Callithrix jacchus: one gene and its partners. The protein of the gene in region 2 interacts with the protein of the main gene of each other region in a pairwise test. Links are inferred from orthologs where the notes say so. Each region holds a gene or a part of one and is shown on either strand. Other genes may lie near its edges.

Region 1 (3,938 bases), on a different chromosome or scaffold from region 2:
GTGCAGGCGATGTGCTCACAAGGAGTCTGCCTGGCAGTTATTCACAAGGTCGCTTTCACTCTGCGATGTGGAGAGAAGAGGGGCTCTTACCAAGAAGTAAAACTAATTGTTCAGAAAAACAGGACTGGTGACCATAAGGAGGTGAGAAAGGAATACTGCTTCATTTCCACACTTTAAAATCAGATACTATTCACACCTTTCTTGTCCCAGAATCCTTTATAAAAAACATAAAACCTATACTTTCAGAAAAAAGTCCAGTGAAACTAAAGATTTAAGGTGTATTTATGAAGATGAGGTATCAATTAGGAAATTCATCATGAGGCTATAATTAGATGCTGCCATGAAAAGTTTATAACTACCTAGGAGAGGTAGAAGAAATAGAACTAGTCATACCTTTATGGTTTGCATTAAAGGAATAAAAAGTGTAAAAAGCACTCTTCTAGTGTCCTCTTAAAGAGATTTTTAAGAGCACCTAAGAATTCAACTAACCATACAAAGAGCAATTTCCTCACAGAATCCACCAGTTTTGGCAGCCCCCAAACCACGAAAAATGTGAGACAATCAAATAAATCAGTACCAATATTTTAAGGGAGGTTCTGACCTAATCAGTAAAAACTAAAGTAAAAAGCATGGAAGAGGAAGTCAGTCAGCAACAAAACATTTCCCAGGAATTCAAGACTCTGGAAGTACCATACAATGGTATTATAAACAGAAATGTCACTCAGAAAGAGGAAGCTGACCAAAGTATTTGAGAACAAGAATGAGCACCTATTCTTTTTCAAACAGATCCAACAGGTGCCTGAGCATAACGCATTAAAGCCCTTCTCATAATATCCAACACAGGCATTCACCGTTTTAGGTTACAAACAAGCTCCGCATTTATGTTTGCAAACTTCGCTAGCTGTGGGCCCAGTACTTCGTGATGATTTTTGAGACAATAATACCGGCATCATCCCACTGTCAACACCCCACCTCCCAAGAGTCTGCAGGGAGAGAAAGTATCTCCTCTTAAGCACCAACTGTTCATAAAGGCTTGCTGACAGTCAATGGAAATAAAGCTTTAAATAGCAAGGGTCAGCAACCTACAAGTCAGACCTTTCTTAGGCCCAGTCTGAGGTTCCACTTGAGATTCATAATAGAGGCTAGAAATCAAGAAAAAAGAACCCGTGAAATTAATCCTGGGCCTTCACCAATTAACAAAGGCAACAAATTAAAAACAAACCACCAACTTGTTTTGAAATGTCAACAAGTTAAACTTCAGTGCCTCCAACATTTGATCCCATAGCATTACTCCCTCCAGGTAATTCAGAGAGCAAGTTTGACATTCTGAGATGTGATGGAGAAAGTATAATTACCAGTATCACACAAAACAAAACAAATCAGCAACCACAAACGAGGGTGAAAGCAGCTTGCTGAGAAACCCAGAAGAAATACTGATTAAAGTGAGAGGGAAACTCCAGTTTCCAGTTGAAAGAGGCCATATCATCTTGTTCAATACCCGCATTTCACGGAGGGTATGGAACGGAGGCTGAAGAATACTCCAAAAAGTGAAGAGAAACGTTATTTTGTCATCTGAAAAGGAAAACAATAGACAAAAGCATCCAAAATAGAAATGCATCATTCTGTGTGGTTCTACAACTTAGGACATTAGCGGCCAGGTTTCAGCACTATCAAAACTTTTCTAATAGGCCAAGCGCGATGGCTCACACCTGTGATCCCAGCACTTCGGGAGGCCGAGGCGAGCGGGATCACTTGAGGTCAGGGGCTCGAGACCAGCTTGCCAACATAGTGAAACCCTCGTCTCTAGTAAAAATACAAAAATTAGCCTGGCTTGGTGGCAGGTGGCTGTAATCCCAGCTACTTGGGAGACTGAGGTGGGAGAATCGCTTGAACCTAGGAGGTGGAGGCTGCAGTAAGCCGAGATCGCAGCTGCACTCCAGCCTGGGCAACAGTGAGACTCCTTCTCCAAAAAAACAAAAGAAAGAAAATATTTTCTAATAAAACAAATCAACACGCAGGCAGTCTCCTGAGGCGCTGGGTGTCTAGAGTCTAGGTGTGGGCACAGGGACACAGAGACACAATACGTGATCCCTGCCCTCATAGGGTGGAGGCAGTTTTACAATCACGAGGCGATGTGCACAGGGCCGGGTGGGAGTGTCACACTCTACAACTAAACCGGGCAGAAAACCAAGGCAGAGCTTGGGTCGCGGTTACCAACCACGTCGCGAGATGGGGACCGCCACCCCAACACCCCAGCCCTGGTCCAGCGCCCCGACCCACCCAGCAAGGGCTCCTTCCTCCAGCCCTGCCCGGTCCTAAAGCGCATTCCCCGGCTGGTAGGGCTGGGGCCGACCTCCGGGACACCTGCCCTCCCACTCGCAGGTCAGTCCCGGGATTTCCTCCTGCCCGGCCCTCTGTCGGGGAGGATGGGCAGAAGGAAGGGACGTGGGGCAGAAGGAAGGGGCGCGGGGCAGAAAAGGACGCGGCGGCCGAAGGCCCACTGCAGCCCCGGGGCTCCTCGCGTAGCCGTGCTGGAGAAGAGGAGGAGAAGGGGCAGAGCCGCCATCCAGAAATTCCTGCAAGTCCCAGCAGGCTTCCCAGGCCCGGGCGGGGAACGCAGGGCGGGAGCGCGGCGAGAGAGGGCCGAGTTCCCGGGTTCACTCACCTCGGACAGGCCGCTCCGGTCCTCCGTGTCCTGCCCGCTCAGCACCTTCTTCAGCTTGTCCATTGCGGCCCAGTCCCCACCGGCTCCGGCCCCTCCGCGGCCGCCTGTTGCGCTAGCTAAGTTGCTGGCTCTTCCGGGTGCTCTGCAGCCGCCAGGATGCCAACCGCGGCGCGCCCCGCCCAGGCACCTGCCCACCTGGGGGCGCCCGGCATGCCTCGCGCCGGCCTTCGCGGGCGTGTTTTGGTCCCGGGAGGCGGGTCAGGCCAGAGGGGCTGGGATTGAAGTCCACCAGGCGTTGCCAAACACTAATTCGGCGTCCGGCACTGTGTTCCAAACCGGAACGGGCCGCGCTCCCTCGCCCTGTTGCCTGTTGTTCCGGGCAACAAACGAGCCGCATCTACCACGTGCAAGGCTCTGGAGTAACAAAGACAGCGAAGGAGCCTCGTGCAGGCGGGAGCAAAGGCTGTGGTTCATCCACGTTGCGATCGCGCTTACACTGGAAAAGTTTTTTGTTTTTCGTTTTCTGTTTTTGAGACGGAGTTTCGCTCTTGTTGCCCAGGCTGGAGTGCGGTGGTGCCATCTCAGCTCACCGCAACCTCTGCCTCCCGGGTTCAAGCAATTCTCTGGCCTCAGCCTCTCGAGTAGCTGGGATTACAGGCATGTGCCACCACGCCCCGCTAATTTTGTATTTTTAGCAGAGACGGAATTTCTCCATGTTGGTCAGGCTGGTCTCGAACTCGTGACCTCAGGTGATCCGCTCCCAAAATGCTGGGATTCCAGGCATGAGCCACGGCGCCCAGCCAAGAGTTACTGTTTCCTTTTTCAGTCACTCAAGGCATTAGCCTGGTGTGGTGGGGCATGCCTGTAAACCCAGCTACTCAGGAGGCTGAGGCAGGAGGTTCACGAGCCAAGGAGTTCCAGGCTGTAGTGAACTATGATCAGGATACTGCACTCCAGCTTCGGTGACAGAGCAGAGCGAGACTCTGTCTCAAAAAAAAAAAAAAATGACTGAAGGAATATGGAAAGGAATAAAAGATTGTTGTTAAACTGTACAATAGTTTGTTTTACTGACCTCAAAAAAACTGAAAATAGACTGGGCATGGTGGCCATGTCTGTATTCCCAGCACTTATGGGAAAATGGCTTGCGCCCAGGAGTTCTAGACCAACTTGGGCAACATAAGGAGACCTCATCTCTGCAAAATAGTTTTAAAACTTAGCCAGGCATGGTGGTGGGCCCCTGTAGTCCAAGCTACTTGCAAGGCTGAGGAGGAAG
Region 2 (4,153 bases):
TACAAATTCTGTTCCTCCAGAAGCTGTACTTTGTTCTGAAGCTCCATATTCTGGGCTGTGTATTTCAAGACCCTGGGGGAAATAAAGATATGGGTATATGACCTGTATCCTCCCTTCAAAAATCTAACAACTGAGTCTCTCTCCCTTTCATACCTGCTCTCTAAACCCCCAACATACACCTTCTTCTTCCTGCGGCTCTCTTGAGCAGATCTTTTATTTCGAATCTTCCTTCGCACACGTTTCAGAATTTGTTCCTCCATCTGAAAGCAAACAGGGAAAGGGATACCATGAGAGGGACTCTAGACCAAGGAGTTGAAAGGCAACTGAGATCAATCTCTTTCCAATGCAGAAATCTCTTCTACAGCTTCTCTGACCAATAGGCATTCAGTTTCTTTCTGAATGCCTCCACGGACCAGGTGTTAACCCTAACAAGCCAGACCATTTTAAACAATTAAAAAAAAAAATTGGTCAGGCAATATGCAGCCAACGTGGCTTATGCCTGTAATCCCAATACCTTAGGGAGCTAAGGCAGGAGGACTGCTTGAGCCCAGGAGTTTGAGACCAGCCTGAACAACATATTGAAATCTTGTCTCTACTAAAAATAAAAAATTAGCTGGGTGTGGTAGCACACACCTGTGGTCCCACTACTCAGGAGGCTGAGGCAGGAGGATGGCTTGAGCCTGAGAGGTCAAAGCTGTAGTGAGCCATGATCTTGCCACTATACTCCAACCTGGGCAATAAAGAAAGAACCTGTCTTTAAACAAAACTTTCTTATCCTGAACCAACAGCTGCCTCCTTATAATTTCTATCCATTAGACTTACCTAGTATTTCTGGGGCCAAATAGAATGAACTGTGTTAGCTATTTTAAGGCACTTAACATTTCCTCAGAGCTTAAAAAAAAGAAAAAAAAACTTACACAAAATTTTTAACATCATCTTAGGATAGCCTGCATCCTCTTAATATCTGTCAAAGATGGTCTCAAAATTGGACATTAAGATGTGCTCTACCCAGTATAAAGGAAAGCAAGAGAGTCACTTATAGAGGCAATAACTCTATTGCTACAGTCTCCAAATTCCATTCACTTTCCTAGTAGCCACATCACACTGCCGATTCATCTTGTACTTTGAAGAAATTAAAATTCTGCACTTTGGTAGCTCCAGGTGGGTAGATCACTTGAGCCCAGGAGTTCAAGACCAGCCTGGCAACAAGGTAAAACTCCATCTCTACTAAAAATACCAGAAAAGATTTTGCTGAGCAGGGTAGTATGCACCTGTAGTCTCAGCTACTTGGGAGGCTGAGGTGGGAGAATCACCTAAGCCCAGAAAGTCAAAGCTGCAGTTAGCCATGATCACACCACTGTACTTCAGCCTGGGCAACAGAGCAAGACCCTGTCAAAAAGAAAAAATTCCTGTAACCTTTTTATTAATGAGCACTGATTTCATCATAGTATCACAGTACTCTGCTTGTGAAGTTGCTGCTCATTGCTTAAAACTTAAAACTCAGGATTTTACATTTATTCATGTCCTGCTTAGTCCACCCCTGTTGAACTCTAAACATTTTTACCATTCAGCAAGAGGTAGACTACTATCAAGCCAATGAAGTGTCAAGGCCCTTCACTTACACAGTCCTTTCCAAGGCCCAATACTAAGTTACATTGATGATTTTTTTTTTAGGCAGAACACCAAAATTTGTATAAGTAAGCCCAACAAATACGAGTATCTGCCCTTGCATCTAGCACATTAGGTACCTGCCCCAACTTCTTATTAGCAACAAATCTGCTAATTTTCTCAACTCAATCCTTTTTTAAAGTTATTGATATAAAGTTAACAAAACTGGCCTACTTGGGACTCTTACTCCCTTTCAGCCTTTGCTCAACCAATGAGAGTCTTACCTTAGTGAGAGGAAGTGTCTCAGGCAGAATAAGCCCCTCCTTCTCCAATAGACTCTTCTCCTCATCTGTCAGTACCAACCTAACAGTCTCCTAGGGTAACAAGAAAGTGGGCAGCAGTTGCATGGGGATGTCAGAGAGGAATGGGGAATCCTGCCCCACCTGGGGAATGTGAGAGTAATCTTCCTGAAAATCAAGTCAAGTACCTGCTCTGCCATTTCCTCCACATGCTGTGTAGTCATCTGGGTCTCCTCTTTTCCAAAGCTCTCACTCTCTGCAAAAGGGAAAGTATGAATAGCCAGGCCCATGAATCCTCTCCTCCCAGCAAACTTACTTCAGACTCACCTAGATCAACAGAGACAGCTTCCTGTGGGAGGGAGTAGGTGTGGTCGTGGTGGACAAGGCAGGGGTTGGAGGAGCTGAGAACGTTCAACGATGCTGGGGGACTCAGCAGTGAGCTCAGCAAATCATCTAACTCCCAGTCACTCGGTACCTGCGCAGGGTTCCAATGAACAGGCCTTGACCTATAACCATCACCTGACCTCATGGACATCCCACGCTTTCCCCAGTCGCAATCCCAACCCACCTCAGAAAGCAGCAGCTCCCAGTCCAGTGGGGCCCTGATGGCCTCGTGCGCCGTCCCCAAATCTCCACTTGCCTCTAGCAGGAAGCCCAGCAGGTCTTCGTCACCAGGATCCAATTCTAGCTCCATTTGAGACATCTACGTAAAGGGTGGGCCACGGGGCCCCAACGTCCGAAGCCCAGACACGAGTCCCAGATCAGCTGTCGGCCTTTGGCACTTTTCCACCGCCCCTCTACGGCCGGGCTTCCCCGCCGGGGCTATCCGTAGCCCTCTCCGGACCCACCTCCCAGGCTCAATTCTCCTCAGCCTCCAACACAGCGAAAGTGACGCACCCGGCCCCGTGGCATTCTGGGACTTGGAGTTCTCTCCAACTGGAAGGCGGCCTGGGTGCCGCGCCACGTCCCAAGGGCTATGCAAATACAGGGGACGGCCCTGCCGTCGCCTCGCACCCCGAGGGCGGAGGCTCCGGGGCTCCGGCTCCGCCTTCTCCCCCAGGCTGGAAAAATTAAGAGTTCAGGCCTAAAAGGAAGCTCAGGCGTCATCCGGGCGTCGTCTCAGCATTGCGCCGTACCCTCGCTTCCTGCCGGGGAGTGGCTGCCGGGCTTCGGCGGCTCCTGAGCATCGAGACCGGGGCCAGAGCAGCTTCCTGCCGGCCCCACGACCATAGAGCGCGAGCCCAGGGCGCCGCCCGCGGGTGGGGGACGTTCCTGGGACGGAAGTGGCCGAGGGAGTGTCGAAGGGAAGGCGAGGCCGGAGCCAGAGGGCGACCCGAGAAGCCTCAGGGCTGCGGGCCGGCGGGCAGGGCGCAGAGCCAGGCAGCGCAGGTAGGTTGGACCGGACCGGGCTGGGCCGGGCGGGGGCCTTAGGGTGGGGCCGCGGAACCTGGCCCTGGTGGCGGGCAGGCGGGGCCCTGCCTCTCCTTCGTGTCCGGTTCGGGTCCTATTAGTAGGAGAGGTCAGGGTCCAGCGCATCTCGACCTGGGCTTGGCGTGAAGTAGGCCGTCTTAGGGGAGACAGACCTTTCCTCGGAGCAGTCCTCTGCCTGGGATAGGCGTTGGGGAGCGTGAGGAGTCGGGTGGCAGCGGGGCGCAGGGCGGGGACGGGCTTTGGTGTTAGCTGATAGCGGGCATGTGGGTAGGAAAGCTTTGGGTGAGTTGCAGATTAGGTGGGATCGGTTTAGGAATGAGGGGTCGCTGTAGGAGTTAAAAGCTGGAGTTAAAACTTGAGTCAGTGTGAGTCAGGTCCGTTTTGGATAGGTAAGGTTTAGATTAAGGTCATTATTTTGTTTACTGGCATGGCCAGCATTCGTCATAATTTGAGTTCAGGATCGGGTTAAGGGTCAACAACAGGAATCAGGTTAGAAATCTGTTTGGGGGATTAAAGAACGTTGGCATGCTCACTATTAAGAATAAACAGTGAAAGGGTGAGTTAGGAATCAGTTTACAAATGAACTTTAGGCTTTGGGGTCAACATTTAGGGTTAACATCAGGGGATTTGGTGCTAAAGGTAAAACGTAGATCAGTGTTAGGGTTCAGGGATTGAATATGGGTCTTTGCTAGGAAAGAGATGAATGTCCAAGCCAGTACTGGGAATCAGAAAACAAATTAGAGGTGGGGTTAGTATTAGGAATTTGAGGCAGCTTTAGGGGTTGTGGTTTGAGGCTAGCATAGTTGACCTTGAGC
Region 3 (4,064 bases), on a different chromosome or scaffold from region 2:
CCCTTCCCTGCGGGCATCATATACAAAGGCTCAAACCAAGTTACACCCCTGGAATTAGAGAAAAGAAAAGAAAGAATGCACCCAGTGTTTTCCCTCCTTGATGCAGGAATTTGAACCATCTAAGTAACAAAGCAACCTTCAGTTATCTGCAAGCACAGCCTTTTATCTACCTCCTGGGGAGCATCTTTGGAACCACGTTTCCCAAGCAGGGTGGGAGCACTGTAGGTATCAGAATCCCCAAGGGTGAAGGAACTCAGTGGCTGGGGTGAGAGCCCTCAGAAGGCATTAGAAAAATGTGGAGCATGTTTAAACAGTGAAGAAAGTAGGAGCAAAGCACTAGCACTGCATTTTCCCAGCAGAGGACAGGTAACCAGTCTACGCTGACTTTGGGAAGTGCAAAGCACCCCCACACTGGGGGAACATTTGCTAATAATATAGAATCAACACATCGCCAGGACGGAATGTACTGCCTCTGCTTGGTATAATTTCCAGTCAATTCGGCCTACCTAGAAGTAATTACTCTTCTTCCAAAGGTGTTTTCTAACTGGCTTATTTACTGTGTGTGGGGGTCGGGGGGGGGCGGATAGTTAATGAAATCTTTGCATTACCAGACGCTTCAATTTCCAGCGACCCTGGCACAAAAGTAAACATTGGACTTCCTCACAGGGACTCTTTTCACCGAGGTCAAATGCGCCCGATTTTCGGAGGGCGAGATTCAGTATCCTTCTCGTCATTACTAACTGGGTCCGGGAAGCAAGAGAAATTAAACCCACCTCCAAATAAAGCCACGCTTCTTTCTACAACACCATGTACCTCTCCCCTTCCCACCCCCACTTTGTACCCGGAGAGAAAGAAAAGCACGCCTTTTAGGCGCAAGGAGAGCTTACTGATGAGCGTTATCAGAAACGCCCAGCCAAAGTCGCCCGGGTCAAGAAAGGGGCAGGGTGGGCGCTGCGCAGCTCCGAGCGGGAGGCGCGCGTCTAGGAAACGGGCTGACTCGTCCGGGATGCGTCATCAACTCCCCGAGGGTCTCTCCTCCCCGCCCTTTCCCCCGCGCCGCCCCGCCTCGTTCTAGGGAAGTTTCAGGAACTTCCAGGACCAGGAGAGTTGCAAGTGCCATTTAAGCACGATAATTCCCAAGGTATTCAGGTTTTACCAACGCGGAGATAGTGGGATTCAGCAAGTTTCAGAGAAAAAAAAAAAATGCCACTGGGGTGAGAGGGATGGGAAATTAGATTGACAACTTTAATTAAATCAACCATTTGCTCTTCTACCATTTGGCACCCAGCCCATCTCTCCTCCCATCCCTCCCACCCCGCGCCCCGGGTTCCTTCGCAGTGACGGAACTCGGACCTGCGCTCGGTTTGACTAGTGAGGATTGGAGGGAAACGTCCCCAAACCGCGCTGGTTCGGGCAGGAAGGCGCGGGAGGGAGCCCGGCAGACGCTAAGATGGCAGGAGGCGCCCCGCGCCCGTCCGGCCCACGGCCTCGGGCCTCCGCAAAGCTTTCATTTTTATTTGCTTTTCAGCATTCACGGGTGCAGACACTTCCACTGCAGGGTCACGTCAAGAATCTAAGCTAATTATTTTAGTCTGTAGATTTACACAGAACAAAAAATCTTTACCGGGCACAAAAAATGCATGGTTGCATTCTGCTGAACAAAATGTGTGTTAGCAATAAAAGTATTTTAAATACTGAATCCTTTAAAGCAACACATTCGCGTTATCTTTGCCCTAGGAGCTCCAACTCCAAAGAACTGCCCCGGAGTTCTGAACTGTGTTGCAGGTTCGGGTAGAGGGAAGGTGCGGGGCGGCGGGGCTGGGGGTGGGTAGATCCCTCTAAAGCGCCGTTTAAGAAAGTTTTTCCCCTGCTCTTTCTAGGAGCTCCCGTTTTAGGGGACGGTTTTGGAAAAGCACCCTGGCGTACACTCTTGTAAACGTCTGATCTCCTCTAATGCTCTGTAACTAACCACCACCCATTGAAGAGACTTCATCTCCTAAACTGCCAGCGTGGTCGAATAAAAGCAGTGTCTCCTGAGGGTCTCGAAACTTTCCATAGCGGTGGCTAACACAAAGTAACAATTTACTATTGATTTTCAAAGGTAGTATTAATACTCTTGAATTTGATACCTTTTTGTTGAATGGAAAAATTATAGGAAGGAACCACGTGGAAGTCAAGTAACCACGATGTTTTAACAAAGCACTTTGTCACAAAAGAAGTTGGCTCTGCAAAGCTATAGAACCTCAATCAAGATTCCCATATGAAAAATGCACTTTATGAAGTGTAGAATACTATAGGAAGCACGCTAAGCAAATTTGCACTTGGGTTTTTGCGATGTAATCAGTCAAATCCCCCAACCCAGGCTTCTAACCGCTCCCCCCCACCCCAACAAATGATAGCACCTAGACTATTACTGATTATTAAAAAAATAAATTATTCTCTAAAACGAAGAACCAAACATCCAGTAAACTAGTCCTTTATTCTAATCTTAAAGGTTTGAACCTTTTACCTGTTGCAATATTAATAGAAACTTTTGTAACAGTCAAAATATACATTCCGTCCAACAAATTTTAACTTTAAAACTATAGAAACACCTTCAAATTCATCAGTCCATTTACAGTATCATAATTCAAAGCTACATTTAATACATTTTAAAACTTTAGAAAAGTTTTACTTGTAGAAAAAGAAACTACTAGGTAAAGTGTTCTCATTTTTTAAAAAACTTACTCTTTTGCTTAAAAGAAGTGAAGTCACGCCAAGTGATTGAACTCCTTGGAGGATGAAGTAAAAGGAAAAGGCCAGTTCAGGCACTGAGACCTGTCTATTTAAAGTTTAAAACTCTGCTGCTGTTTGGTACTTTCCTCACGCCTTCCCCCTAATGAAAGAAAAGTGCTGATACCTCGTAAAAGCTTTTTTGTAACTTGGAGCACAGAGCTTTTAAAAGTTTCAAGCCACTGACTCAACTGGGAGGAGGGGCTAGAAGAAAGGGGAGGGCAAAGGGAAAGGCGGGGAGGAGGTGGGGAGGAGGCTGGTGAACGTGAAAGGGTGGGGGGAGAAGAGGCAAAGAGCAGGAGCGGGATCAGGATAAAGTCGTAGTTTAAATTTGCTGATGAGAAAAAGTAAAATAGCATTAGGGACATGAATACCTCCACTTGGAGTTGCTCCTCACACATAAGAATCATTGATTATTGTGCTGGCTTCACCAAAAGACCAGGGATGATGGGGGGAAATAGTGTATATTTTTATTATAACATTGTCTAAAATTTTTAAAGTGGTTTACAATATAAATAAAAATAGCAGGGAAGCATATAACCAGTTCCAGCTTGTTTCACACTGACCAAGCTACAGGTAGGTGTGAGTGACCTGTTTGATAATCTAATTCCCTTTCTTTAAATTTAAATAAGGGCAATTAACAAAGGAAATGGTGGGGAAGGGAGAGAGACATTTCAAAAATCGAGGTAGATGAAGAAAAGTCCATACCCAATCCATCTTTCCTCCCCTTCATTGCTTTGAACTTTTACCCTTTCATTCAGTTTAGCAAAAGGCTGTGTGTGAGTATGTGTGTGTGTGTTTTACATACATAGCATGTTTTGTTTGCCTATGAAATCTCGATATCTGACTTCCAGAAAACTAAGATTTTATATTTCAGCCCTCTTTATTCCAAAATACTAAAACGCAAATCTGTAGTGAAATGTCAGGATTTTAAAAACACAGACTATGGTTGCCTTAAGTAGGTTCCCAAACTATTCCGCCCTCCTTAAGATCACTTCCCCTTCTCAAGCCCACTAGAGTTTTCTGCCCAGTGACAGCAGAGTGGGCAGATCATTTTTCTGTGCTTCCCTACCCCTTTCAATGCTCTCCCTCTTCAGGGCTCAGCTTTAGGGTTTATAATGACCTGAGTCATGTGGCCTCGTTCTTAAGGCAGGCAGCTGCTTTGAGGGCTTCCCAGATGCCATAGCAGAGTGTTGTGGTAGGACAATTCCTCATAAATCGGCTTCAGTGATGCTCCTGAGGTTGGGCAGGAAATCTCTTGGCCATATTCTCTGGATGGAAAGCAAACTCAT
Region 4 (4,138 bases), on a different chromosome or scaffold from region 2:
ATTAGCCTCCCAAAGTACTGAGATTACAGGCTTGAGCCACAAAGCCTGGCCCCACTTGACTTTCTTTTTCTCTTTTTATTTTTTAGACAAGAGTCTTGCTCTGTTGCCCAGAGCAGAGTGCAGTGGCATGATCTCCGCTCACTGCAACCTCCCCCTCCTGGGTTCAAGGGATTCTCTTGCCTCAGCCTCCTGAGTAGCTGGGATTACAGGTGCAAGCCACCATGCCCAGTTAATTTTTGTATTTTTAGTAGAGACAGGGTTTCACCATGTTAGCCAGACTGGTCTCAAACCCCAACCTCATGATCTGCCCACCTCGGCCTCTGAAACTGTTGGGATTACAGGCGTGAGCCACCTGGCCCCACCTGACCTTAGTTCAGAGGCCTCCCAGAGGATAACTGTACTCTATGCACTAGGATTTGTTGCCAAATAGTTTTGCAGGTGTTTATAAATCTTCCTAAGTGTCTGTACTGTCGCCCCAACTAGAGTGGCAACACCTGGAGAGGCCGTTTCTTCTACTGCTACACCCTGCTGCAGAATAAACCTGAAAATCTCAATTGTGAAAGTAGACAAACATGCGGTGAAATTATTTGTATCTTTTAAGAAAGAGTCTTATCTTTATAGATTTTCAATAGGCATCCTTTGCTAGCACATCAGCGTTCTGTATTCATGGATTCAACGAACCACGGATCAAAAATACTCAGGAAAACGGAAGGTAGTTGCATCTGTACTGAACATGAACAGACCTTTCTTCTGGCCATTATTCCCTAAACAATACAGTATACTATTTACACAGCATTGACTTTGTACTTGGTATTATCAGTAATCTACAGATGATGTAGTATATGGGGGAAGATGTGTAAGTTACATGTAACACCACAAACTTGGGTGGCTATTGGTATCTGTGGGGGTGGAGTTCCTAGAACCCATCCCCCACGGATACAGAGGGATGGTTGTATACTGTGTGCTTATAAATTATTACTTGAACGAAAGAAAGGAGCTATAGAGAAATTAAGTGGTTAAGTATTGTGGCCTCTGACAAATGTTGACCCAATCCAAAAAGCACTATCTGGCCGCATGCAGTGGCTCAGGCCTGTAATCCCAGCACTTTGGGAGACTAGGGTGGGCGGATCACCTGAGGTCAGGAGTGGGAGACCAGCCTGGCCAACATGGTGAAACTCTTGTCTACTAAAAATACAAAAATTAGCCGGGTGTGGTGGCGGGCCCGCTTGAACCGGGAGGTGGAGGTTGCAGTGGGCCGGGATAGCACCACGGCACTCCAGCCTGAGAGACAGAGCAAGACTCTGTCTCAAACAAAAACAAAAAACAAAAAGCACTGTCTGTTCACAAATTTGTGGGACAGTCCTCTGTACCTCTTCCACGCCACTAAAGATTCTCAGTAGCTGCGAACTAAGCAACAAGGTGCTGGTGTTGGGGGGACGGGCATGGGCCTGGGTCTCTCAAAACTGGAGCTTCTATTCCCAATTCAGCCATTAATTGATTAGCTGCATGACTTCAAGGCGCTTTCCCAGATCAACATAGTCTTGGGGGAACTGGCAGGCTAGGACTCTGTCTGGCAAAACAATGGTGGGTGGTAAGCAGCCAAAAGTTTAGTGGGAGAGGTCAGCCTTGCTGCAGTAAATCTACCGGAGACAACTGCAAGGTTCCTGGCCTACAGGGCCCACGTCGTACAGCAGCCCCGATGGCAGCGGGAAGGGGAGTTAGGTCGCCCGGCGCCTCACCCTCGAGCAGCGCGACGCCTTTGAGGATGTCATCATTGTACTTGCTCCGCACCAGGCACCAGGCGTACTCAAACTGCGTGCTCTTGGACACCGAGCCTGCTGCCTTCTCAGACTGAAATTTCCTTTCAAACTTCTGCCACAGGGGAGCAAAGGAATCATTTAGACATGAAGGGCGTCAACCATTCTCTATCTGGACGTGGTGTCGGTCACACCCCATCTCCCTGGCCCTGCCCCCTTTCCCTCGCCGGTCTCGGTATCTGGCACCCCAGCTTCTGCTATCGCCGGGCCCCGGACCCAGGCTTTCGGCTCCTCCAGGCCCCTGGTCTCCCCTCCCCACCGGCGGTAGCGAGCGGAGATGCCACCTGGTGGCAGCGCCAGGCACCGCTCCCGGAGCAGCTGACCCGACGGTCGAACAGTAAACACCCTGTCAGAACTGCTCAACAACAGCCCACGCGGTCCTCTTCTGAGGCTGCTGGCCCCATCTTGCCCCATTCTGCCGGGCCTGGACCTTTTAATGTCCAGGAATAGAAGCAGTGCCTACCTCCTAGAGCTACAAAGAAAGACTGAGATCTGGAATGCGCTGCCTTAGCACCGTGCGGAACACAATAATACGTGACACCTTATGATGGTCACTGTATTCTACCACCGCTGCAGGAGCGCCCTGACTTCACAGCAGGATTCCACAGCCCGGCAGTCTAACCACTCGGAGCTTCAGGGCCGCAGTGTGTGGTGTGGGGGCTCAGGACACTACAACCCCCAGGAGCCTCTGCGGCATAGCGGGCCCTTCGGCAGGAGACAGGCGCTACGGAGGCTGCCGGGAGTCGTAGTTCGGCTTCCCTCGGCCAAGCTGATGCCGGGAGGAGGGTTCGGCCAGCTACCTGACTCTCCTCAGGACCCGCCCTCCGACCTTCCCTTTCCCTGTCCGGGCCAGGCCTCACCAACAGGTCCTCCACAGACACCAGCTCGTTCAGCACGGCCTCCATGGCCACTGCCCCCGCGAGCCTTACACCACAATCTACTGTGACACAGTCTCCATGGTCCAGTGGCAGGGGCGGAGAGCCACTTCCGGCGTCTGGCGGATGCGGACCCGACTTGGCGACGCCCCGCCCCTTCCTCCGGCTCAGCGGCGCGGGCGGGGCGCTAGCGCGCAGGCTCAGCCGACATCTCCAGCCAGCAGAATGCGCTCAGGGAGACCTTCCTCAAGTGGGTGTTCCTCAGTACCCCAGCCGGTGCCTCCCCGCTTGGAGGCTCCCCTAGGGAAGCCGGAGGCTATGTCTTAGCGGTTAGCCCCCAGGATGAAAAGAGCAAACAGAGCTGAGGGTGGAGATCACATCACATTAGGTGCCAAGCTGACACACCGCAGAAATATAGGACCTTGGAGGCCACGTGACTTTTTACCGCCTGCAACAAAATCGTAATTAGAACCCAGGGCCGGGCACGTGGCTGCCACAGGGGAGCATCAACACCTTGGGAGGCCGAGGCGGGAAGATCGCTAGAGCCCAGGAGTTCAAGACCAGCCTGGGCAACAAAGAGAGACCCCCCCATCACTACAATTTTTTTTAAAAAATTAACCACCGTGGTGCCCTGCACCTGTACTCCCAGCTACTAGGGCGGCGGAGGCAGGTGGATCACTTGAGCCCAGGAATTCAAGGCTTCAGTGAGTTATCACGCCACTGCACTCACTCCAGCTTGGGCGACAGAGACCTTGTCGGAAGAGAAAGGTTCGGACACCTCTGTTTCTGTGCAGAGAGGGGACTGGATAGGTAGAAACTTTCAAATCCTTTTTTTTTTTTTTTTTTGAGGTGTAGTCTCACTCTGCCGCCCAGGCTGCAGTGCAGTGGCACGATCTTGGCTCATTGCAACCTCCACTTTCTGAGTTCAAGCAGTTCTTTTGCCTCAGGCTCCGGAGTAGCTGGGATTACAGGCACCCATCACCATGCCTGGCTATTTTTTGTATTTTTAGTAGATGGGGTTTCACCATGTTAGCTAGGCTGGTCTCAAACTTGACCTCAGATGATCCGCCTTCCTCGACCTCCCAAAGTGCTGGGATTACAGGCGTGAGCTACTGTGCCCAGCCAAGCCTCTAATATTTTTCTTCTCATGAGAGTATCGTGAGTTAGAAAGGCAAGAGTTATTCTTCCCTATTTAGCCTGGATGGTTGAAATGACTGATACGGTGAGCTCTGTAAGCCTTGAGAGGATCCCCAGGTTGGGGAACTGGGTCCTTGATGCCCATTAATTAGCATAAACCTGAAGGAGAAAACCTCACGTCCATTCAGAGATGTATAGAGCACCTAATTTTGGCTGGGCCTTGGGGTAGGCACAGAGGATAAAAAGATGGACACTAGGGCCTTGTGTGGTGGCTCACACCTGTAATCTCAGCACTTTGGGAGGCTGAGG
Region 5 (3,982 bases), about 46 Mb from region 2:
ACAGGCTTTAGTCAAATGTGTCAGAATCTGTCTTAATGTCCTTACGATGACAAAAAAAGGTCCAGGCATGACGGCTCACGCCTGTAATCCCAGAGTAGCTGGGACTACAGGCATGTGCCACACACAACACCCGGTTAATTTTTTGTATTTTTAGTAGAAACCGGGTTTCACCATGTTAGCCAGGCTGGTCTAGAACCCCTAACCTCAGGTGATCCACTTGCCTCCGCCTCCCAAAGTGATGGGATTACAGGCGTGAGCCACCTCGCCCAGCCAGCAGGAGTATTTAAACACCCAAACGGTGCCATTTACTGAGAACTTATTCTAATGGTATCCCCTAAGTAGAAATCGCGGTAACTCCAGGGAGGCCACTAACTTGAATGTGGCTTTCTTCACCCCCAGCCAGAAACCTCAGGGAGACGTTTCTGCAGAATGGACAGAACAAACTGACTTTGGAGAGACGGAGTAGCCCTTCAGAGGCCGCAGGGCTCTCGGACAGTGGAAAAAGGTTTTGGCTTGGCTTCCCATAAACGGCCCTTGGCTTCCAGCTGGACAACTCTGGCATTTCTGTGCCTCCTGGGACTGAAGTGTTTCTCCACCTGGAAAATGAGGCCTCCTGCTCCCAGGGGGAGATAGAATTTAAGACCTTCCCGAAGCCATTGCCCACCCTAATGTGGGAAGATGAGGCTGACACCAACCCTCCCTGGCCACAGTAAACACCGCATCAGCAACAAAAATGTTACAACATTAAGAGCAGCAGCAGCAACAACAACGTCCTGCCCCCTGAGTGGCTCGTTGTAGCAAAACTGAGAACAATTAACGGCTTGAAAGTGATGGCATTTAGGAGGTCAGAGCCCAGATGACAACCAGCTCCAAACCCCTAATCCTTGTCACGACGGCGCCCCGCAGGCGGAGGAACCCCTCTAGGGTCACCCGCAGGGGCGCACCCCCAGTTTACCGACAAGGTCCCACGCCCCAGCCGGGCTCTCGCCCCCGCCCCGCCCGGAGCGCACCTGTGCAGGGCGCATGGGGCAGGTGCGGGCGAGCGGCTGCGCGCCGCTCCGCCTGCACGTTCCTGTTCCGGACTTTCTGGGCGTCCCGTTACGAAGCCTTTCCTCGGCCTGTCCTCAGGTGCGCAGTGCCCCGGGGAGCCCAGTCCCGGCGGGAACAGGTGCCCGACGCCATCTTCCCTCTTTTAAGGACACCTGGGCTGTGCGACCGCGACCGTGGGCTGGCGGTGCCGCGCTGCGCTCTGGCCGGGTCCGCACGACTACAGAGGTCGGAGCCTGGTCCCCGAAAGCCGCGCTCGAGGACTGTGAGGGGGACGATGGGGCTCCCGGCCTTCGGGGCGAGACGCAGAAGGACCACCCATTGCACAGACGCGGGGACTGAGGGCCGCGCCTGGCACCATGCATGTCCGGGACGTGTCGGAGCCGGAGTCCCGGGACGTAGCCCCGCAAGGGACTCGTCCGCGACTTGCCGGAGCAGAAAGACCGGGCATGGGTCCTCAAATTTTCAGCCGCTCGGCACCCGGGGCCGCGGCCTAGGCGCTAATCGCGGGGCTGGAGTCGGGGAGGGGGAGCGGCAGCAGGGTCGGGGTACTCACCTGGCGGCGGCGGCGGCGGCGGCGGCGGCGGCGGCGATGATAGCAGAGTCTGCGACCCAGCAGAGAGGCGTCGTGTCTGCGGCCCGGGGACCCGCGCGGGACCTAATGGACCGGGACGCCCCGCCCCGCCCGGGTCCCGCCCCGCGCCGCCCCGCCCCGGGAGCTGCCTCTCGCACCCCGAGCGCGGAATGCTGGACTGGGGTCTGAATGGCATTAGCAACAGAACCGCTACAAGTGCGGCCGGTTGGCTTGTTTACGGCCTCTCTGCCCCCTGCTGTTCTGCAAACTTGCTTTGTCTCGTGCGTCGCTGTTTTCCCTGCGCCCGAGACGGGCGCGCACTCAGGGGTTTCCATGAATACCCGGGGTCGATCCCTTGCCAGAATCTGGGTGTATAATCTAAGCCCTTTACACGGATGGCTTCCCTTCGAGCTCAAAGTACTCCTAAGGGCTCGGTGCTGTTTTTCACGATTTTACCCGCATGGGAACCGAGGCTCCAAGAGGACGAAATGACTTGCTGAATGACCGCGTGAAGCCAACGCTTGAAAACGTGTGTTCCTTAGGCAGCTCTGGGACTTAGGTGTTTGGTTTTGTTTTGCTTTGGGACGGACTCTCAGCCACCCACTCTGGAGAGCAATGGCACGACCTCTGCCTCCCGGGTTCAAGCGATTCCCTTGTCTCAACCTCCGGAGTAGCTGGGACTATAGGCGCGCGCCACCACGCCTGGCTAATTTTTTGTGTTTTAGTAGAGATGGGGTTTCACCCCGTTAGCCAGGATAGTCTCAATCTCCTGACCTGGTGATCGGCCTGCCTCAGCCTCCCAAATGCTGGGATTACAAGCCACCGCGCCGGGCCAAGAGATTTAGGTATTTTTAAGCCTATTTCACGAATACGAAAACCGAAGTTCACACTTGGGTTAGCAGCAGTGCTCCAGACCCCAAGCCGGTGGGCTTCCCCTCCACTCCCCTCCCTCCGCAGTCTTCCAGCAGCACCCACACACCCACTGCCTTACCCCTCCGGTCTCGGGCTCCCGGACAGCAAGAGCGGGGCGGGACCGGGAGAGAATTGGGGGCAGGGGGCCCACCGGCAGACCTGCTGAGACGGACCCCAGAGACCCACCAAGGAGAGATAAATCAGAAAGGTTCCGGGAGGGGTGGGGGGCGGCAGCCTGCCCCGCGGGGACGGGTAGTGCCTAACTGCGCCCTGGGGCATATTGGGGGTGGGAGAAGAGGAGGCTCCTGGAATAACAAAGTAACGATTGTCCTGATCACAACAAAGCTTGTTTACGCGTGTCCTGATCCTCTTAGAGATCGGGGGAGGGGCAGGAGCCGGGGCTCCCCTCCCCGGACCATCTCCTCCCCCAGCTCTGTCGTTGCTACCTGTTGGGCACCCTCACTGCTCTTCCTACCTCTAGGGTCATTACTTCCCCCTCAGTGTTCTCATCTGTGAAATGGACAACAGCACCTACCAAGAGCTGGGCTGTTGGGAGGAACAGAGGAGGTAAAGCCTGATAAGGTCTTCAGGGTCCCTCCCTCCTGCTGGGCCTTGGACCTTCTCTGCTTTTGTAGTCTTTGCTTCTAGGGCGTCCAAACCACATCAACTCCCAGCGCTACAAAGCAGCTCACCCTGACTGTGGATAACAGCCACAGGGTGCCTTACAGTCAGGAGTGGGAAACCCTTAATTATGGGGCTTCCCTCTGAGTGCATTTTGCAGATGAAGAAATTGAGACTCAGGGAGGTAAAGCAATGACACAGCATCTCTTGGGTCCAAAAGACCTTGTATGTGTGAGATGTTTGCAGAGGGGTCTTGAGGCTGCAGGCACAGGGCCAGGCATGTGGATGTTCAGTAAACAGCAGAACAGATGGAGAATGAAGGACAGTTTGGGGACGCTTTGAATGATTCAAGGGCAAAGTGGGTGAAAATACAGTACTTATTTACTTTGCAAAATCACAAGATAATATGCTGATCAAGGCTGGGCGCGGTGGCTCACGCCCATAATCACAGCACTTTGGGAGGCCGAGGCGGGTGGATCACAAGGTCAAGTGATCGAGACCATCCTGGTCAACATCGTGAAACCCCGTCTCTACTAAAAATTAGCTGGGCACAGTGGCACGTGCCTGAAGTCCCAGCTACTTGAGAGGGTGAGGCAGGAGAATTGCCTGAACCCAGGAGGCGGAGGTTTCAGTGAACCGAGATGGCGCCATTGCACTCCAGTCTGGGTAACAAGAGCGAAACTCCATCTCAAAAAAAAAAAAAAAGATAATATGCTGATCAAAAAGAGGAAGAGATGGCCAGGCATGGTGGCTGTAACCCCAGCACTTTGGGAGGCCAAGGTGGATCACCTGAAGTCAGGTGTTTGAGACCAGCCTGGCCAACAAGGC
Region 6 (4,045 bases), on a different chromosome or scaffold from region 2:
CACCCACCCCCAACACAAAGTCAAGGCCTGGGTCCCACTGGGCTCTGCTGAAGCTATGGCTGGCATAGCTGCTCCTTACCCCACCACTCTATATTTGGGAATGTCAGAGCTAGAAGGAACTAGTAAGTCATCATCTGGGTCCACCTTTTTTATTGTACATATGAAGAAACTGGCTTATTAAAATATATGCCTTTTGTCCAGCTAGTAAACTGAGGCTTCTGGGTAAGAGAGGCTGGGCCATCTCCCAAAAAGAGGAAGATGACGACGCAGCCCCAAGAGAACAGAAGAGAGGTTAGAACCTATACCTTCCAGCAGGCTTTGCTGGCCTTCCCCTCCCCCCAGAGCTGATCCACAGATTTATATGCAGTGTTAATGCCATTGTCATTTGTTCTTGAAGCTTGGCTACTGCGCTTCTTTTTTTTTTTTTTTTTTGAGATGGAGGCTCGCTCTGTGGCCAGGCTGGAGTGCAGTAGCATGATCTCGGCTCACCGTAACCTCCATCTCCCGGGTTCAAGCGATTCTCCTTCATCAGCCTCCTGAGTAGCTGAGACTACAGGTGTGCGCTACCACGCCCAGTTAATTTTTGTATTTTTAGTAGAGATGGGGTTTCACCATGTTGGCCAGGATGGTCTTGATCTCTTGACCTGGTAATCTGACCCTCTCCGCCTCCCAAACTGCTGGGATTACAGGCATGAGCCACTGTGCCCGTCCCACTACTGCACTTCTTAGGACAGTGAACTTTGCTTCCCTGCAGACTGAGAGCTCCTGGATGACAGAAACCAGGGCTCCCCGTAAGACTGGAATTTACCAGAGGACAGAGGCCATGGTTGATATTCTCTTCCCCCATCCCCCATCCAGATTACCCTCCTGGCCTCACTTGGGGGAGGAATGGGGGATCCACCCATTATAGCTACCTAAGAACCCCTGTTCTAACTCACCCTCTCTCTCAACCCCATATCCAGCCAAACTGCAATCCTCACCAGCTCTCTGCCAGCCAAAGTTCATGGTCTTGGTGGCTGGCCGGGAGGACATCCAGAGGGAGAAGAGGCTGATGAGCATGCTGGCAAAGTCAGTGAGCAGGTGTGCTGCGTCGGTCATGACAGCCAAGCTGTGTGCCAGGTACCCACCTGCAGGGGCAGGGCCAGAGGGTGCAGGGTCCTTATCAGCTCCCCAGAGACCTGGCTTCCCAGACTGTGTGTGCAGCAGGGAGACCACAGGCTCTGGAAAAAGCCATGCTGAGTTCAGGATCTCTCCACCCATGAGCTGTACAACCATGAGCAAGCAACCTACTCTCTCTCAGCCTCAACTTCCACTCCCTGTGAAAAGGGCCACCAACATCTTAGAGGGTGGATGTGCACATCAAGTTCACATAGGGACTGGAAAGCAGAGTAGGTATTCAGTAAATGCTCTTTCCTTCTAGGAATTCAGGCCTTCCCTTAGCTACTAGCTGTGTATAATCTTTGCAAGTTACTTAACTGAACATGCCTTGGTTTCATGGTCTGTAAAATAAGAAAAAACGTCACCCATGTAATAACACAGGTTGTTGTTAGCCCTGCATCAGCTAATGTGTACACAAAGGCTTGGCATGGTGAGTGTTCAGTAAGAGGGGCTATTAGCGTCAGTATTGCTGGGAATATCCAGTCTATCCATGCACCTACTTCATTTAATTAGCCCAAAAGTACTTACCTATGACTTCTCCGATCATGAACACCAGGCAGATGGCAGAGGCTATGTAGAGCTGGCGCCGGGCCTGCCCCTTCTTGGGGTCACAGTCACTGCTAGGACTCTTCGGAGCATGGCAGTAATGATTGCTCTCCACAGCCAGCTCAATGGCCTGCAAGTCCAGACCAGGTCGGGACAGAGGGATCCAGCCAGCCCCCTCCTGCCACAGAGATCCCATGTATGGCCTGGCCAGAGAGTAAGAGAGGGGGCATGCTCAGCTCTGAGATGGGGCAAGGAGGGCGGCCTCTGGTCCCATTTCTCTGTGAGGCCTGTGTCCACTGGGAAAAATAGCTAAGGACACTCTAAGTTGACAATCCCTGAGGAGTGACCAGAGGTGAGAAGCCTGTGTTCAGACGGGGATGCTAAGGGAATGGGAGTGTTGGGGTCCTGGTCCCGGGGTGTTCCTTCTCCTCAATCCCTTCAGAGGCCAGAGGAGGAGAAGACCCTGGGAACCGGCCAAGGGGCGTGCAGTCCAGTGGAGCACGGGGAAGGAACAGAGTGCAGGCTCTGGGAGAAGAGCAGGCCCCCCTCCAACAGGGCCTCCCCAGGGCGGGACTGCCTGGGGCAAAGTGCTGGGCGGGGCGGGATTCCAGGCAGGGGAACCGCCACTCACCCGACCCCAGGCTCCCCGCGGGCAGGGGTCAGGATCTGTGCTGGGCCCCAGGGGACCTTGGGCCACAGCCCTCACCTCATCCACCCTTCCCTCACCTCACCCCACCCTTCCTACGTGGCCCCAGCTCAAGCCGCCGCCAAAACGAACCACTGCTAGGATGGCAAGCGCGGAGGTGCGTCGGCTGCCGCCCAAATTCCCGCCTGGCTCCAGGCTTTCGTCGTACCGGACTACGGGCCTGGCGTCCAACAGGTGCTGCTTCTCCGTGGCCTCCATGCTGCCCCGCGCCGGGTAGCGGCAGCGCCGCGGCCGCCCGCCGAGTGCGCCCTGGAAGTTGCGCGCGGGACTCCGGGTGGCGCTCACCCGCGAGCTGCGCTTTCTCCGACTCGGCCCCTGCGGTCCCCCGGCTGCAGTTGCGGCTGCTGCTCCGGCTCTGGCTCCGCGCGCCTAGCGCCCCAGGTCTCAGGTACGCCGCTGAGCCCCGCGGCCGCCGACTTTATCCGGGCCTCGCCACCCCGTGTGAAGCGGCCCGCGGCGCGTCGTGTGCAAAAGCCCCCGGGGAAGGGGCGGGGTGGCCGGCTGCAAAAGGCGCCGGGCTGCGGCCCCGCGCACCGGTGCCTGCGTCCTTGGGGCACGTGGAGCCCACCTGCGGGTCGCGAGAAGCCTGCCAGCCTTCGCCAGGCGCGGCGCCCGGTGTTGCTGAGTGAGAACGGGGTGACGGCTGCGCTTCCTCTCCCGCGCAGAGTGGGCCGCGTTCCCACAGAAAGGTTCTCGACCTTGGTTTGTAGAAATCCTCTTTGGTGGTCCCAATGACAGGACTGTGGCTCCTTGCCTCGGAAGAGGGTCTCCAGAGACTCCTGGGGCCGCGTCTGCCCCCTCCGACTGGCGGCTGCCCTGGGCTTGATCATGTTCCCCTCTCAGGCCGGAGACTACCGAGGTCGGCTTGCGTTCCTGCCCTCCCGCTAGGAGGGTCCTGGGGTGGGCTGTGCCGCCCTCAGGCTGGGACCAGTGTTTCTCCCTAGCATCGGCTGGGACTGATCAACCATCCTCGCCACTGAAGCAGCGCCAGCTCCTCTCCTGTGTGCTCTGATTAGAATCTGGAGTGACGGCAGGGCCCCGTGGCTCACGCCTGTAATCCCAGCACTTTGGGAGGCCGAGGCGGGTGGATCACGAGGTCAAGAGATCGAGACCATCCTGGTCAACATGGTGAAACCCCGTCTCTACTAAAAATACAAAAAATTAGCTGGGCATGGTGGCGCGTGCTTGTAATCCCAGCTACTCGGGAGGCTGAGGCAGGAGAATTGCCTGAACCCAGGAGGCGAAGGTTGCGGTGAGCCGAGATTGCGCCATTGCACTCCAGCCTGGGTAACAAGAGCGAAACTCCGTCTCAAAAACAAAACAAAACAAAACAAAACAGCTGGAGTTACCGGCTTTATCTCCATCCGCACAGAGAACAGTGTCAACGGCAGTCGCCATAGAGGCAGAGCCGACCACCGCCACGGCGGCCACCCCTTCTCCCCTCCCCCCAGGGGCCGACCAGCAAGCCTGGGAAATGCAGGCAGAAGGTGCCACCGTGTTGGTACCGCTGGGAGAAGCCCTGTCCCTCCTGGCAAGCTTGGTGCCCCACCCACTTGAAGCAGCCTCCTTACCCTGGGGTTCTTGGAGATTGGGGGGGCCTGTGGCCCCTAGCTGGCCTCTGACAGGTGTCCTCTG

Evidence for each region.
Region 1: the proteins of CREB3 (region 2) and SFT2D2 interact in a two-hybrid assay, tested with the Homo sapiens proteins (2 studies listed by BioGRID and IntAct). The two-hybrid records come from large-scale screens. The link is inferred for Callithrix jacchus from reciprocal best matches to the Homo sapiens genes CREB3 and SFT2D2.
Region 3: the proteins of CREB3 (region 2) and GJA1 interact in binary tests that used the Homo sapiens proteins (3 or more experiments, as listed by UniProt). The two-hybrid records come from large-scale screens. The link is inferred for Callithrix jacchus from reciprocal best matches to the Homo sapiens genes CREB3 and GJA1.
Region 4: the proteins of CREB3 (region 2) and FIS1 interact in a two-hybrid assay, tested with the Homo sapiens proteins (2 studies listed by BioGRID and IntAct). The two-hybrid records come from large-scale screens. The link is inferred for Callithrix jacchus from reciprocal best matches to the Homo sapiens genes CREB3 and FIS1.
Region 5: the proteins of CREB3 (region 2) and BIK interact in a two-hybrid assay, tested with the Homo sapiens proteins (2 studies listed by BioGRID and IntAct). The two-hybrid records come from large-scale screens. The link is inferred for Callithrix jacchus from reciprocal best matches to the Homo sapiens genes CREB3 and BIK.
Region 6: the proteins of CREB3 (region 2) and SLC30A2 interact in binary tests that used the Homo sapiens proteins (3 or more experiments, as listed by UniProt). The two-hybrid records come from large-scale screens. The link is inferred for Callithrix jacchus from reciprocal best matches to the Homo sapiens genes CREB3 and SLC30A2.

Annotation. Positions count from the first base shown.
Region 1 is NC_133519.1:34,101,385-34,105,322, forward strand, and holds the start of SFT2D2 (vesicle transport protein SFT2B), read right to left. Parts: upstream 2,801-3,938; 5' UTR 2,729-2,800; coding exon 2,666-2,728; intron 1-2,665. UniProt on the Homo sapiens protein: May be involved in fusion of retrograde transport vesicles derived from an endocytic compartment with the Golgi complex.
Region 2 is NC_133502.1:142,636,854-142,641,006, reverse strand, and holds the start of CREB3 (cyclic AMP-responsive element-binding protein 3), read right to left. Parts: upstream 2,801-4,153; 5' UTR 2,611-2,800; coding exon 2,476-2,610; intron 2,383-2,475; coding exon 2,235-2,382; intron 2,164-2,234; coding exon 2,096-2,163; intron 1,983-2,095; coding exon 1,893-1,982; intron 261-1,892; coding exon 154-260; intron 73-153; coding exon 4-72; intron 1-3. UniProt on the Homo sapiens protein: Endoplasmic reticulum (ER)-bound sequence-specific transcription factor that directly binds DNA and activates transcription. Plays a role in the unfolded protein response (UPR), promoting cell survival versus ER stress-induced apoptotic cell death.
Region 3 is NC_133505.1:127,878,274-127,882,337, reverse strand, and holds the start of GJA1 (gap junction alpha-1 protein), read right to left. Parts: upstream 2,801-4,064; 5' UTR 2,728-2,800; intron 1-2,727. UniProt on the Homo sapiens protein: Gap junction protein that acts as a regulator of bladder capacity. A gap junction consists of a cluster of closely packed pairs of transmembrane channels, the connexons, through which materials of low MW diffuse from one cell to a neighboring cell.
Region 4 is NC_133503.1:12,515,255-12,519,392, reverse strand, and holds the start of FIS1 (mitochondrial fission 1 protein), read right to left. Parts: upstream 2,801-4,138; 5' UTR 2,723-2,800; coding exon 2,678-2,722; intron 1,873-2,677; coding exon 1,740-1,872; intron 1-1,739. UniProt on the Homo sapiens protein: Involved in the fragmentation of the mitochondrial network and its perinuclear clustering. Plays a minor role in the recruitment and association of the fission mediator dynamin-related protein 1 (DNM1L) to the mitochondrial surface and mitochondrial fission.
Region 5 is NC_133502.1:188,655,043-188,659,024, forward strand, and holds the start of BIK (bcl-2-interacting killer), read right to left. Parts: upstream 2,801-3,982; 5' UTR 2,613-2,800; intron 1,682-2,612; exon of another isoform or gene 1,604-1,681; intron 1-1,603.
Region 6 is NC_133508.1:62,692,650-62,696,694, forward strand, and holds the start of SLC30A2 (proton-coupled zinc antiporter SLC30A2), read right to left. Parts: upstream 2,801-4,045; 5' UTR 2,609-2,800; coding exon 2,559-2,608; intron 1,908-2,558; coding exon 1,687-1,907; intron 1,128-1,686; coding exon 981-1,127; intron 1-980.